2 linked regions of the Oryctolagus cuniculus genome follow. The main gene of each other region encodes a partner of the protein of the gene in region 2 in a complex. Links are inferred from orthologs where the notes say so. Each region holds a gene or a part of one and is shown on either strand. Other genes may lie near its edges.

Evidence for each region.
Region 1: PHLDB2 (region 2) and ERC1 share a complex: the UniProt entries of both Homo sapiens proteins name them as parts of the cortical microtubule stabilization complex. The link is inferred for Oryctolagus cuniculus from reciprocal best matches to the Homo sapiens genes PHLDB2 and ERC1.

Annotation. Positions count from the first base shown.
Region 1 is NC_091440.1:98,806,302-98,813,308, reverse strand, and holds the start of ERC1 (ELKS/Rab6-interacting/CAST family member 1), read right to left. Parts: upstream 4,647-7,007; 5' UTR 4,343-4,646; intron 1-4,342. UniProt on the Homo sapiens protein: Regulatory subunit of the IKK complex. Probably recruits IkappaBalpha/NFKBIA to the complex. May be involved in the organization of the cytomatrix at the nerve terminals active zone (CAZ) which regulates neurotransmitter release.
Region 2 is NC_091435.1:67,776,409-67,783,419, reverse strand, and holds the start of PHLDB2 (pleckstrin homology-like domain family B member 2), read right to left. Parts: upstream 4,388-7,011; 5' UTR 4,251-4,387; intron 1-4,250. UniProt on the Homo sapiens protein: Seems to be involved in the assembly of the postsynaptic apparatus. May play a role in acetyl-choline receptor (AChR) aggregation in the postsynaptic membrane.

The DNA of each region.
Region 1 (7,007 bases), on a different chromosome or scaffold from region 2:
CAAATAAAAGTAAAAATCTTTTGTTGAATTTAAAAAAAAAAAAAAAAACTAAGTCACAGTGACTCCATATCTTACTCAAAATAAAACTCAGAGGGGCCGGCATTGTGGTGTAATGGGTAAAGCTACCACGTGCAATGCCACAGGCACTGATTCACGGCCTGACTGGTCCACTTCTAATCCAGCTCCCTGTTAATGGCCGTGGAAGATGGTCCAACTGTTTATAGACCCCTGCCACCCACATGGGAGACCTGAAAGAAGTTTCTGGCTCCAGTCTGGCCCAGCCCTGGCTGTTACAGATATCTGGCCACTGTGGGGAGTGAACCAGCAGATGGAAGATCTTTCCCTCTCTCTGTCTCTCCTTCAGTTTGTAACTCTTTCAAATAAATACACAAATCTTTAAAAAAGAAAATTCAGAGGCTATGCAATGATCTATTAGTCCCCTATATTCCCATCCCCATATTCCCTATCCTCCTCTCTTTTCTCATGTATCTCTATGTCAATGTCCAATATACCTTGTAGTAATTTATTTACTTATTTACTTATTTATCTCTTCAAATAGCATAAAAGCTCCATAAAGACATAAATTTTTGTCTGCCTTGTTCACTGCTTTATTGCCAGCATCTGCAATACCTGAGTTATAATACATGCTCTCTCTCTCTCTCTCTCTCTATATATATATATATATTTTTTTTTTTTTAAGTGAGAGTAAATAGTACATAGTAATAGCAATAGATATTACTGGATTGGCTATATGGCAAAACCATTCTACATACATAAACTAATTCATTTAACCATCTTAAAAGATTAAGTACAATCATTAATTACTCCCATTTTGCAGATGAAGGAGTTAAGGTTAAGAAACTAAGGTTAGGGGCTGGGCATTGCAGCAAAGCAGGTAAAGCCTATGATGCCAGCATCCCATATGGGAGCCAGTTCATGTCCCAGCTGCTCCACTTTCAATCCAGCTCCCTGCTAATGGCCTGGGAAAGGCAGTGGAAAATGGCCCAAGTGTTTGGGGCCCTGCACTCACGTGAGAGATTCAGATGAAGCTCCAGGATCCTGGCCTTGGCCTGGCCCAGCCTGGTCAATGTGGCCATTTGGAGAGTGAACCAGCAGATAGAAGATCTCTCACACACTTGCTCGCTCACTCTCTCTCTTTCTCTCTCTCTCTCTCTGTAACTCTGACTTCCAAATAAATAAATCTTAAAAAAAGAAACAAACAAAGGTTAGGCAGTTTACCCTAAGTCATATGATGACAAAGCGAGGATTGTAACTGGGGCACTCTGATCCCACAACACAGACTCAAAGATCTGAAGAGCCATAGAATTATATTCCATAAACTTATTTTATTACCTATTTCCCTGAAAACTTATAATCAATGTACTGATGAATGAAATGAAATGGAAATATTTCAATCTCTGATCTTTTCCATCAGTGTTTCTGTTATAATGCATGTAAAACACTTTTTTCCTTAATTTTTCTAAGAGACAGAGAGGGCTTCCGCCTGCTGCTGGCTCCCCAGTTGCTGAGAGCTCAATCTAGGGCTCCCACATGAGTTACACTATTTGAGTATTTATTTGACTATCTGAGTCATCACCTGCTGTCTCCCAGGATCCACATCAGCAGGAAAACAGAAATCTAAGATGATGGGTATGAGGCTGGAACATGGGATGCAGGCATCCTAATCAACATCTTACCAAGCCAAGTGTCCAGCTCAGGAAAACACACTTTTATCAGCTCTCATACTATATCTACAAGCATAAACAAAGCATAAAACAGAGCAGCTGTTGGGGTGAGAACCTTCATTTTTAAGTTTCCAGTGTTAATGTTGAATTAACAGACTGGCATACTTACCTATGACTTTAGTTATAAAGAAAATACAGGATAGCTTATTAGATTCAACAAGGGTATCACCAAGTAATGAGTAACAAGCAACATTTTCAAAACTTTAAAATGTATAACAAGAAATTCTAAATAGGAGAGATTACTGCTACTCTGGACTTTCTCTTAAGCTCTATGATTTAAGTCCTACAAGAAGAACTGCATCTCAGTCAGCCATGCACATATTAATTTAGGAGTACATACACCAAAAGTTTCACCTGGTGGGGCCAGTGCTGTGGCACAGAGGCATAAGCCACTGCTTGCACCCTACTTCACAATGTTCTGATTGATTAAATCACAGTACCATTCAAAGCCAAAACTAGATATGTGACTTTTTTTTTGAGATTGATTTCTTTTTTATTTATTTATTTTATTTTGACAGGTAGAGTTATAGACAGTGAGAGAGACAGAGAGAAAGGGATATGTGACTTTTAAGTTTTCCTTCTAACTAACCCAAAATCAAAATTATTCTTTGCACCAACCCAAAAACCAATCTAATATAGTTCATTAAATATTTTATTTGTAACTATAAATTGGACCATACTCTATTATATTCTGTTGCCAGTAAGTCTCTTAAAAGCAGAAGCATTTGCTAGAAGATAACCGCCTGCTCATTAGGCATGTCAAAAAGGCAATGATCGGCAACTCCTAAAACTTACATCTGTGTATTTCTTTCTTGGGATACAGGAAAGCACATCTCTGGCTGTATTTCCAAATAAACTGGTTAAGCCTTAGGAAAGTCACTAATTTCTATCTCATGACGCTTTCTTTTCCTTCAGAAATGAATTATTAAGAATCATGCCTATTTTCATCCATTTCATAATACATGTCCAACATAGGACCTATTTTCTAAACAAGAATTAGCTTAAATGACAATAACCAATAGATAGATAGTTAAGGCTGTAATCTAATAGGGAGCAGGAATCCAAGAGTCTGATTTACTGTACCAAGTTGTGAAACACTGACTTAAAACTGAACACTGTTTACCCTTAATAACATCACTCTACAAAGTAAGACATAACATTATTACAGTATTTTAAAAGCACTTGACTTCCAAAAACATGTCTAAGAAATTGAGGGCCTACCTATAAACATATATATGTACATACATATCTTCCATTTCTTGTTAAGTTTTATTTATTTATTTGAAATGCAGAATGACAAAGAAAGTTATCTTTGATCCCACTGGTTCGCTCCCCAGATACCTGTAACAGCCAGAGCTGGGCCAGGCTAAAGTCTCCCATACTTCCTCCCAGGCACATTAGCAGGAAGCTGGATGGAAAGCTTGGAGTAACTTGGACTCCAAGTAGGCACTCCAATATAAGATGCCAGCTCCCAGGGGGTGGCTGTTAACCTCGAGTGACAAAGCCTGCCCCTATGCCCTTCCATTTCTAGAGTGTTTAATAAAGGTTGCAATAAATACAACTGCAATTGAGAAATAAAAACAACTTCAATAACTGAACACAAAACGTCTAAATGTCAAGGTCTACTGAAAAACAAGCCATAAAAGACAACTGTGCCTTAAAACATTTAAGCATTTCTCATATAATTAGCTCCAAAAGAACTGTTCAAATTGTTCATTTTATCCACCCAAAGCAGTCAACCACAACCACCTGCAAGTATTACTCAGAAACGTGTCTTCCAAAACAACCACCTGAGACTCAGGCCTTCTCTTAAGGGGCCCGGAAACGCCTGTACCTTAAAAAGTGGCATAAAGAGATCCAACAGGCACAGGGGGGAAAAAACTGGAAGACAACACCTCACGGAGCTGAGTGTAATGAGACCTGTTCCCTAATGGTTGCTGCCACAACGAAGTTGTCTAAACCCAAGATCTTCCTCTTCTTCGGTATAAAACTTCTGATCCAGCCATGCTCACGATTTACTCATCACGAACTAAAGCAAAGGAATTCTCTTCCCTCCCCGGACCCCTCCCCACCCACCCAACCCAGGAGAAGAAAAAGAAAAGGAACCAAAATCCTAAAGTAGAAATGTGAGATCTGCTGCAACAGCTTCTCCAGCCGCCTCAAAGGCATCACCTATAGTTCAGCTTTCTTTTGAAACAGAACCCGTCTTCTACCTCACCATTTCACCGGGAAAAGGGGGGGGGGGGGAGCTCAACATTTTTACATCAGTCCCCAACATCCAAGAAGCACCGTGACCGCACCTCAACCTCAAGGCTCCCCAAGGTTCCCAACTCCCCCCGAGCCCCCAGCACAATCACGCCTCACCAACCTCCCTCCCACCTCCCGCCCCGCAATCGCCCAGAGCCCCTGCCTCCCACCTCCAGCCCGGGGCTCCCCACCGCTACTGCCTCAGCTCCCGCCCAACCCGGAGTGCGCGGGGTGGAGCCCGCCGGTGGGCTGGGGTGCGCTGGGGTGCGCTGGGGTGGGGTCCGCCCCTCCCCGGACTTCCCCATCCCCCCCGGTCGCGAGAAGAGGGGGAGGGGGTCCTGAAGCCTCACCTACAGCTCCGCCCCTCCCCGGGGGCGCTCTGCCCTGCCCAGTCAGGGCCGGGAGCAAGAAGCCGGGTCAGAAAAGGCAAAAGCCTCAGCGCCAACAGCAGGCGGGAAGCTGGAGGTCCCACCCGACTTCCGAGTCGTCGCTGCAGCCGCCGCTGTCGTCTCACCCTCCTCAGGGCTGCCGCTGCCGCTGTTACTGCCGCTGCCGCCGCCGCCGCCGCCGCCGCCGCCGCCGCCGCCACTACCCCACCGCCGCCGCCACCGCCGCCGCCGCCACCGCCACCGCCACAGCACGGCCCGGGCGCCCGGACGTCACCGCGCCCCGCCCCCTGCGCGAGACACCTAGCCCCGCCCCCGGCCCCGGCCGCCGCGAGCTCCTCCTCCAGCTCCCAGCCCGGGGACCTCACTGTCCCTCGCTCACCCTCCTGGGACTTCGAATCTGCGGCCCTTGAGCCCCCGGACGCCTCCTAGGGCGCGACGGGGTAGCGGCCGAGAAGTTGGGTGATACGGGGCAGAGCCGGGGGGCCGCGGGGCGGACCCACGTACACACTCTCGCGCCCCTGAGGCCTCGGGAGGGGAGAGCCCAGGCAGGCTCAGGCGCGAGGCTGTAGGTGGGCGCGAGGAGAGGCGGCGATTGTCTCCTCGTGCTTGCCGTAGGAAGTGGACCGCCGAGGCCCGGAGAGAGGAATCGTGTCTCTCCCGAACCTGCGCGCCGCCCCGCCCCGCCCCCTCCCTCCCGGGGCCCGCTACCCGAACCCAGGGACCGCGGCCGCTGCGGGGAGTGGCGCTGGGGCTGTCCTCGGATGCCGGGCTGCAGTGGGCGCCCTTAGTGCACCGTTAGCTTTTGCCAAACGTGGCCGTGGGAGGTAGTGCTCTGCTCCCAGAGGCGCGAGGCAGGCCTCGCAGGACCCTTCGCCGGTGTGCGACGTGTTCCTGTGGTGACTGCGTGGGCGGGAGTCATGTCCACACTCGGCCCCTGCCGGTGCCAAACACGGCAGCGAGGCGAACCTGCTGGGCAACTGGTATTTCAAGCAACCCAGTTTTCTGGGTTCTCCTTTGTCGGCTGCAGCCATTAATTTAAAGATGTAGATAAGCTATCTCTAAGCCAAGAAAAGAAAGAGGGGTGTGAATCACACTTACTCCCAGCCTTCCAGCGTATATTAAAATTATTTAAAATACCCTTAAGATGAAAGGCGTTGAGAGTCATCTTTTTACACATACCTCCCACTGCCATAATTAACCAGTCTCTGGCTTCCTCATAGTCCCACTAGTGTTTTCCTATCTCTTCCCAGTGTGCACATCCATTCACCAAATCCTGCCCATCCTGCCCATCCTCCCCAAGCTCCCTCTAATTGTTCCCTTCAGGATCACTGTGCATTGGGAAGATTCTGATTCCCGGGCCTGCGGCGATCACCTCTGTACTCCCTACGTAGCACTGCCATTTGTAGATGGCTACCAGCCGAGCATCCTAACGTATTCCATTTCTTGAGCATCCAGCCTCTTACCCAGGAAAAGCCATCGTTCTTTGACTATTTTTCAAAACCTTTCTCATCTGACTCCCGATATGCCATCCTGTTACCTACCCACCCCCACTCTCCGCCCCCAGCAGTGTGGTGAGGTAAAATAAATGTAGACTGGCAGTCAGTCCATTCTGCCCCTGTCCCTTGTGTATCCTTGGAAGAACCACTGTATACTTCTGGGAACTACTGAAGGACCAAGTGGGATTTGAGTGGCAGCTGGGATCCAGCCTATCTCTAAAGTGTGCGGATCCATGGGGCCGTCGCTGTGCCGTAGCTGGTAAAGCCCCCGCTTGCAGTGCCGGTATCCCATATGGGTGCGGGTTTGGCTCTGCTTCCAATCCAGCTATCTGCTATGGCCTGGGAAAGCAGTGGAAGATGGCGCAAGTGCTTGGGCCCCTGCACCCATGTGCAAGACCTGGGAAGGAATTTGGATCACCCCAGCTCTGGCGGATGTGGCCATTTAGGGAGTGAACCAGCAGATGGAAGCCCTTTCTCTCTGACTCTCCCTCTCTCTGTCGCGCTACCTCTCAATATAATAAATAAATCTTACAAAAAAAAAAAAAAAAGAGGTTCAAATCTTCATGTTCACTTTAAGAACATTTATGAAATTGACAAGGGTACAAATGCCCAAAAAGCCACAAAGTATCTGAAAGATGCTACATTGAAGAAGCACTGTTAAAGAGTGGAGTTGGCTGGGGCCATCGCAGTGGCTCACATGGTTAATCCTCTGCCTGTAGCACTGGCATCCCATATGGGCGCCGGGTTTTAGTCCCAGTTGCTCCTCTTCCAGTCCAGCTCTCTGCTGTGGCCCAGGAGTGCAGTGGAGGATGGCCCAAGTGCTTGGGTCCCTGCACCCGCATGGGAGAACAGGAGGAAGCACCTGGCTCCTGGCTTCCGATCAGCGCAGTGCTGGCCACAGCGGCCATTTTGGGGTGAACCAAGGGAAGGAAGACCTCTCTCTCTGTCAAATAAATTTTTAAAAAATTAAACAAAGAGCCGGCGTCGCGGCTCACTAGGCTAATCCTCCACCTTGCGGCGCCGGCACACCGGGTTCTAGTCCCGGTCGCGGCACCGGATTCTGTCCCGGTTGCCCCTCTTCCAGGCCAGCTCTCTGCTGTGGCCAGGGAGTGCAGTGGAGGATGGCCCAA
Region 2 (7,011 bases):
AAAGTACAGTAATTTCTTCCATGTTTCCTAGCAAGAACTCCTTTGAAACCTTATTTTGCTTTTGGGTACACGAGCTTGAAAGATTTTTGCCTTTAAGGCAGCTCTTATTCAGTAGCCATTAGCATCTTCGTTTTTATTACACTGTGAAAATCTAATTATAATAATGGCATTTCCATTCTAACCTGATAGACTTCCAGCCAAAAGCAAAGCAGTTCATGCTGGATTGGGACTATGTGGCCTAAGAACAGACTGTGTCATCATTTGGCATTTTTATTTCCTGAAAACCATTTCTAGACTCCATTCTTAGCATGATGAATTCAGAGGACTGTAACTTGTGTTGTGACACAGCAGGTTAAGCTGCTGCTAATGATGCTGGCATCCCATATGAATGCTGGTTTGAGTCCTGGCTATTCCACTTCCAATCCAGGTCCCTGATTACACACCTAGAAAAATAACGAAACATGGCCCTGGGACCCATGGGGGAGACCCAAACGGAGTTTTGGGGTCCTTTATTTGGTCCAGCCCTGGTCCTTGTGGCCACGTGGGGAGTGAACCAGTGGGGAAGAATGATCTCTCTCTCTCTCTCTCTGACCCTGCCTTTCAAATGAATAAAATAAATCTTTATAAAAAAAGAAATTCAGAGAACTGCTTGTAAATGAGAAAAGAAGATCAAAGCATTTAGTGCTCAATATTTACAGAACTCATTAGCTGCCTGAGGTTTGAGAGGGAGGCCCACTTGTAATGAGCCTCAGGTTCCTTATCTGACACGGTACCACCTGAAAATGGTACTCAACTTACAGTGTTATGATGAAGATTAAATAAAACCATTGACATACTGGAAAGTTTTGAAAAATTTAGCTTTCTCAAAGGCTGAAATTTCATGGCAGCAATTAACTTTCAAAAATCTTATTATAATAATGGAAAAATTTTATTTTGCATTATGTTAAAATCAATGAACCAAAGAAACCAATGTTTGTGAGCAAGGTAATAAGACCAATTTTCTCCACAGCTTCAGAAAGGGATCAAAATGCTGACTCAGGGGCAATGTGTGTGTTTATAGTATACGAATGTGCGTGTGTGTGTATGTGTGTGTCTGTGTGTGTGTGTTGTGTTACTTTCCCGCAGGGCAGGTAAATCACTGTGATACTGAATTTTATGGCTGTACAGAGTCAAGAACATTTCTTGGGGGAAGGAAGCGAGAATAAATATGTACTTTGAGAATTCAAGCAACAATTTGGAAAGGACGTCCCCTCCTTTTGTACAGTGCAAACAATGTAGGCACTGTGGAGTGAGTATAGGGAGTTGGGCTTTAGGATCAAGTAGACTCCTGCTAAACTCCACCTGATCTTAGTAGCTCCTTCATTCCTGGCAAGTTGTCTTGGAAATACATGCAAAACATGCAGACAAAAAGTCAGCAGCTGATTTGTTAGGCATAACAGGCATTGGGTAAAGGTGAAATGTTGGTAGGAGCCCTTGTGTTTTAGAGTCAACTTTGTTTTTCTCTCAGCGTCTTAATTAACACAGATGATAGGCTGTGCGTACAGTTCAAATGGGGTCCCCTGCCTGGATGGGGCCTGGTGGACGTGGTGATGCAGTCCCTCTTTGCAATGCCTCACACTCTTGAAGTATGCATGAGGCAAGTCCATAAAAAAAAGGAAAGCCCTCATGCAAGGGTGTTTAGCCAACCACCCGTCACAGTGGTGTTTCTTAATCTTGATTATGTAAAGGCTTGGGCATTGTGTCTGTTTGGAAGTTCTGCCAGACAATCCATGGACATTTTAGGATGCATTTGAAAGAAGTGAACCTGGGAGGAAGAGGGGGAGGAAGACTTGCTGCTGTAGTTTACTCATTTACAGCTTAAATGACATCATCAAGCTATTTGGATTCCAAGCCAACCTGGGTCTCTTTGAATTGCAATAGCTGGGAGCCTTGAAATGATGGACTGCTGATGGTTCCTCTTGCTTTAAGCCTCCTTTCGCCCAACTGGGATATGGATGAGTGGACATCTAATAATGAAATTCTTGAGTTCTCAGGGGAGGGTAGGGATGGAGTCCATTCTTTCTCTGGATCCGGTTCAGGTGCGGTATTTTAGTTGGGGCTCATGAATTTGAGTCTAGAGAAAACACAGGGCCCAGGATCTAGCTTGAGAATTCACTAGGTTTACTGGGAAATATCCAGGACTGACACGAGTCCAGAGATAGTCACCATTACAAACACGTCCCTTTACTTCCTGCCAGTTTGTGCTTTTAAGTCCCCTAGAATCAGGTCCACTCCAGTCAAACGGTGGTCTTTTGGTGACAGTGGCACTCACCTGGCCTTAGGCCTGGCACATCCAGAGGCCAGTGGAGAACTTCTAACTCTATTAGTGAGACTTCCTTATCCCGTTGACCTTTAGCGTCTCCATGTGTTCAACTCCATTGCCTCATGAAGCAATGGGTTGGCAACAAGGCAGAAATGAATAGAACCAGGGGTCAGCCTTGGAGTAACTGCATGAATCGGGGCAAATTAATTAATGTCTGTGTTCTAACTTTCCAGCATTTAAAGAGAATAACAATGCCCATTTAATCAAGTCCATCTCAGGGATAGTCTCTTCCTATCTAATTTACAATGTATACGAAATGGGAAGAAGAGCTGGATAGAACCGCAGGGTTTTCCTTTGTGGTTTTGGCTTTGAGCCAGGCTGCACAGGAAGGAGAGTGCAGTTGTGTGTGCGAGTCCCTAAGGCAGCCTAAAGCATAGTAAGTAAATTTGGCCTATGTCTTGAATGCCCCAAGGCTCTGTGCTCCCTTCAAAACCACCTCCAGCACTTGCATGATGTACAGCATATTCCAGTTTCCAGCCAGACACACAGTTAATATTCTGCAGGACTTAATATCTGCACAGCATTTCGTAATTGTCCATAACATTCCTGCAAGGTTGCCACAGACTTGTCCCAAATCACACAAGTTGCAATGTGTCTGCAGTGACCTCAGCTCCTGCATCTGGTTAACTACCTCAGCCACTAAAAATTCCAGCTAGAGACCTTACCTGAAGGGATTCACTTAAGTTCCATAAATGATTGACAACAATCAAACATGACCTTGTCTAATATGTGATTCAATCCCTTACCCCAAGGGACTTCAGGAAAAAAGGGCCTCCCTATCACTAACAACTATAAGATCCAAGAGCTATAGCACACGCTTGGCAGGTATACATGATGACAATATGACAATGTTTCTGCAATTAAAGAAGTTACCTTCAGACCTAAAGAAGAGGAGGCCATGTTTGGTTCAAATAACATATTTACAAAATGTGTAGGCCTGAAGAGAAAGACTTCACTTTTTTGATAATTACTCCATAGCCTTATTCTCCATCAGAATCCCTTAATAACTTGATCCTTAGTTAGACCACTTTCTTCCATATAGACCTCCACTGACAGGCAAAGTGCTCTCTAAAGCCACAATGTTTTATCCTAGTGATATGAAGTCTCAGGTTTGTGCATGAGTCTTGCTGAACTGGGAGGGACCTTGTGGGGTTTACTCCTCGGGTTAGGATACAAACTAACTTGATCAGAGGAGAATATGGGGTAAAGCCTCAGAGAATGTTGCTTTGATGTTGCCATGTGTATTCTGTGGAGGGGATCAGCTGGTGGTCTTCTGTCAAAGGTAGGAAAGAGCCCTGCCCCGGTAAATGATTGACCTGGCTGCCTGGTCTGATAAGCCTGGGTAAATAGGCTTGATTCTGCTCCAGTAATTTCAGGACTTTTAACTCCTTTGGTACCAAAGCAAGCAGGCCAATGGCTCCCTGGGAAATCCCATTATTTGAGATTGACAGCGCCTGAATAGACAGCGTGTTTCTCAGACTTGTCTGTACACTGTCCTCTCTGCTATATCTTGAAAGCAAGAAGAACTCATGCAAGCAAAATTCTAGAATGAAGACATGTTTATAAAGCTACCCAAAGTGGAAAAATTCCAATAAGCCACATGTATGCTTTCAAACCATGAAAGAGAATAAACCTACAGAATTTTCAAAATACATAGAAGAGCAACAACAGCAATTTTTAGAGGAGCAAGAACGAGGAAGGAAAATTCAACCTAGTTTCCAGAATTCGCTGATGGTCAGATGATTGAATTCTGTGAACACCCGCCCCAACTCCCATCTACCACATCTCCTGAAGGAGACGGCCGGCAGAGACACTGTAGTTACAGGGCTAGCTAAGGAGCTTGTTTGCAATCTGGAGAGAAGGTCCAGTGGCCAGCCTGATCCCTTACCTTGATTGCTGCTTTGTATTTCAGATTCTTCCTTCTTTCCTTCCTGATTCAACAGGGATGGTCCACAGTTCTCCCAATCCTCTCTGAAGAGTTTCGGATGTGGGGAGGAAGCAACCACACAGGCTCCAGCTTTTCCCCAAGCATGAAAATGAGCTGTTCCCTTCTATCTCTTTCCTGCTCTCTGGCCGCTGCAGCCAGTGGTCACAGGCAGCAACTTGTTCGCAGCCAGGTATGTTGACAGATGTGAAGGAGGGAGTGTGCGCTGGTCTCAGCTGCCTGGTGCAGCCAATCATTGCACACCAGGCCAGGCTTTTTGCCCTGATCAAATCTCAGCAGACAAATCAGATACCAGGGCTGTAGAGGGCAAAGGGCAGAGCCTGATAACTGTTGATTATCCAAAAAGTGATTACCTTGTGATTGGCTCCATCAAGATGGTAAGAGGTCCTGCTAATAACATGGAGGAAAATGTTACTCCCATTTTCAGCTCGGAAGGGAGTTTGGAGGTCACTTGATCAACTCTCTCCTTTGGTAGTAGGGTCTCTTCCACTGAGTTCTTTGCTGCTGAGACTCCTCATCTGGCAGTTCTTTGAATTAATAGGGCTGCATTTCCTGGGTGTACTGTGTGTTACACATTTCATATCCATGAATGAAAATCCTTGTGACAACTTTGGGATTGCATTTCTATTTTATGAATGAAGGAACAAAGTCTCAACGAAGGTAATGATCATGTACCTTGTGGGTGCTGAAGTCAGATTTTGAACTCAGATCTCTGAAACCAGTGCATCGGTAAACACTTCCTGATATATTCTGTGGTAGGTTGACTAACAGGCCCAAAGAATGTCCACCTCTCAGTCTTCAGACCCTGTGGATATATTACATTATGTGGTGAAAGGGACCTGGCTGGTCCCCATTCGAGTTAGGAGCCTTGAGACAGGAGACTATGTTGGATTATCCAGGCAGGCCCAGCATAAGCACAGAGTCCTCAGCAGACGTCAGAATCGGAGATGTGAGGATGGAAGCAGAGTCGCAGATGGAAGGTGCTGTGCTGCTGAAATGAAAGATGGAGGAAGGGGGCGTGACTCAAGAAGCTTCTAGAAGCTGGAAGGGCAGGGAAATGGATTCTCCTTTAGGGCCTCCACAAAGAAAATTACCTGATGACCCATTTTAGACTTCTGACTCCAGGCCCGTGCTGTTGTGAGCACGGTAAGCAACCGCATCTGTGGTGGTTTGGCACAGTAGTGGTAGGGGACTAATACACCCTCCCTCAGAAATCCTCGCCTGCCTAGGCAGTGTCTCACTGCGCAGCCATGCATTCTTGAAATGACAACTCATTGGTTCTAGCACACTGCCCCGCCCCCGCTCAGGAGGCAATGGAAAACCGAGGGAAATAGAAACAGTGCTGGGAAGGCTCTCAGAGCCAGGATTGTGGACCCAGCTCTGCCTTGAGCAGGCAGTTCTCTTTGGGTTTGCTCTCCTGTACCATTAGTCCTTCGCCCAGCTTTTCCTTGATCTCTGCCACATATAAAGGCACAACATTCTAAAATCTTAGTTGTGTAACAAGTTGAACATATTTGAAGACATTGCTATAAACTTTCTCTCCATTTTTCCTGTTCCAACCCACGCAGTGTCCCATGTAGCAGGATTTCTGGATCCTTCTCAGTTTACCCATTTCCCTCTGAATTGTGGTACCCAGATCTGTGCATAACTCACCTGCCATCCCTTCTCTCCCAGAGTGCCTGCTTCCTCTGGTCCCTGACCATACTCTCTCGCTGGATCCCAAGCAGCCTTGGGAACTTTTGGACCTACACATTTTAGTCTTGCTCACTTTCTCTTCCTTCCTTCCTTCCTTCCTTCCTTCCTTCCTTCCTTCCTTCCTTCCTTCCTTCCAGATTTATTCATTTATTTGAAAGGCAGAGTTTACAAAGAGAAGGAGAGAGAGAGAAAGATATCTTCCATCTGCTGGTTCACTCCCCAAATGGCTGCAATGGCTGGAGCTGCGCCGATCTGAAGCCAGGAGCCATGAGTTTCTTCTGGGTCTCCCACATGGGTATAGGGGCCCAAGGATTTGGGCCATCTTCTGTTGATTTCCCAGGCACATTCGCAGGGAGCTGGATGAGAAGTGGAGCTTCTGGGACTCCAACTGGTGCCCATATGGGATGCTGGTGTTGCAGGAAGCAGCTTTACCCGCTAAGTCATAGTGCCAGCCCCTACTATATTGCTATCCTCTTTCATCTGACCTTAATCTGACCTTATTTCTTGAAGGAGGGCACTTAGAGGGAACAAATCCACATGAGTCTTAGTCTCTCTCTCTCTTTTTTTTTTTTTTTTTTTTTTGTAAATAGGAAGGGTCAAGACTCTAACCTTAGCCTAATTAGACTTCTTTCTTGTTTAACAACATTTAAATGATAACTCATTTCCACAGGCTCTTGGAAAACAGTGGTGTACACATTTTTTGGATCATAGATTCCTTTGAGAAGCTTATGAAAGTTATGGATCCTATACAAGAAAAAGTGTACTTGTTGCTAAGATTTTTGTGTGTCGTGTGAGGGTGGTTCAGCCCTCAGGAAGTAGTTTACTGGCCTCTTTGATGGGTGGCAATTAAGCTCTCTAACTCACAAGGCTGTTGGTGAGGGAAACTTTGGCAAAAGGCTGTCTGATATCTTCTTCCAGATCCCTGTATAGTTCATGGAGGCCCTGGAATCAGAACCCCCTTGGGTTGAATTGAGCAAATACCCAGTGAGGGTCAAGGCAGGAAAGGCTT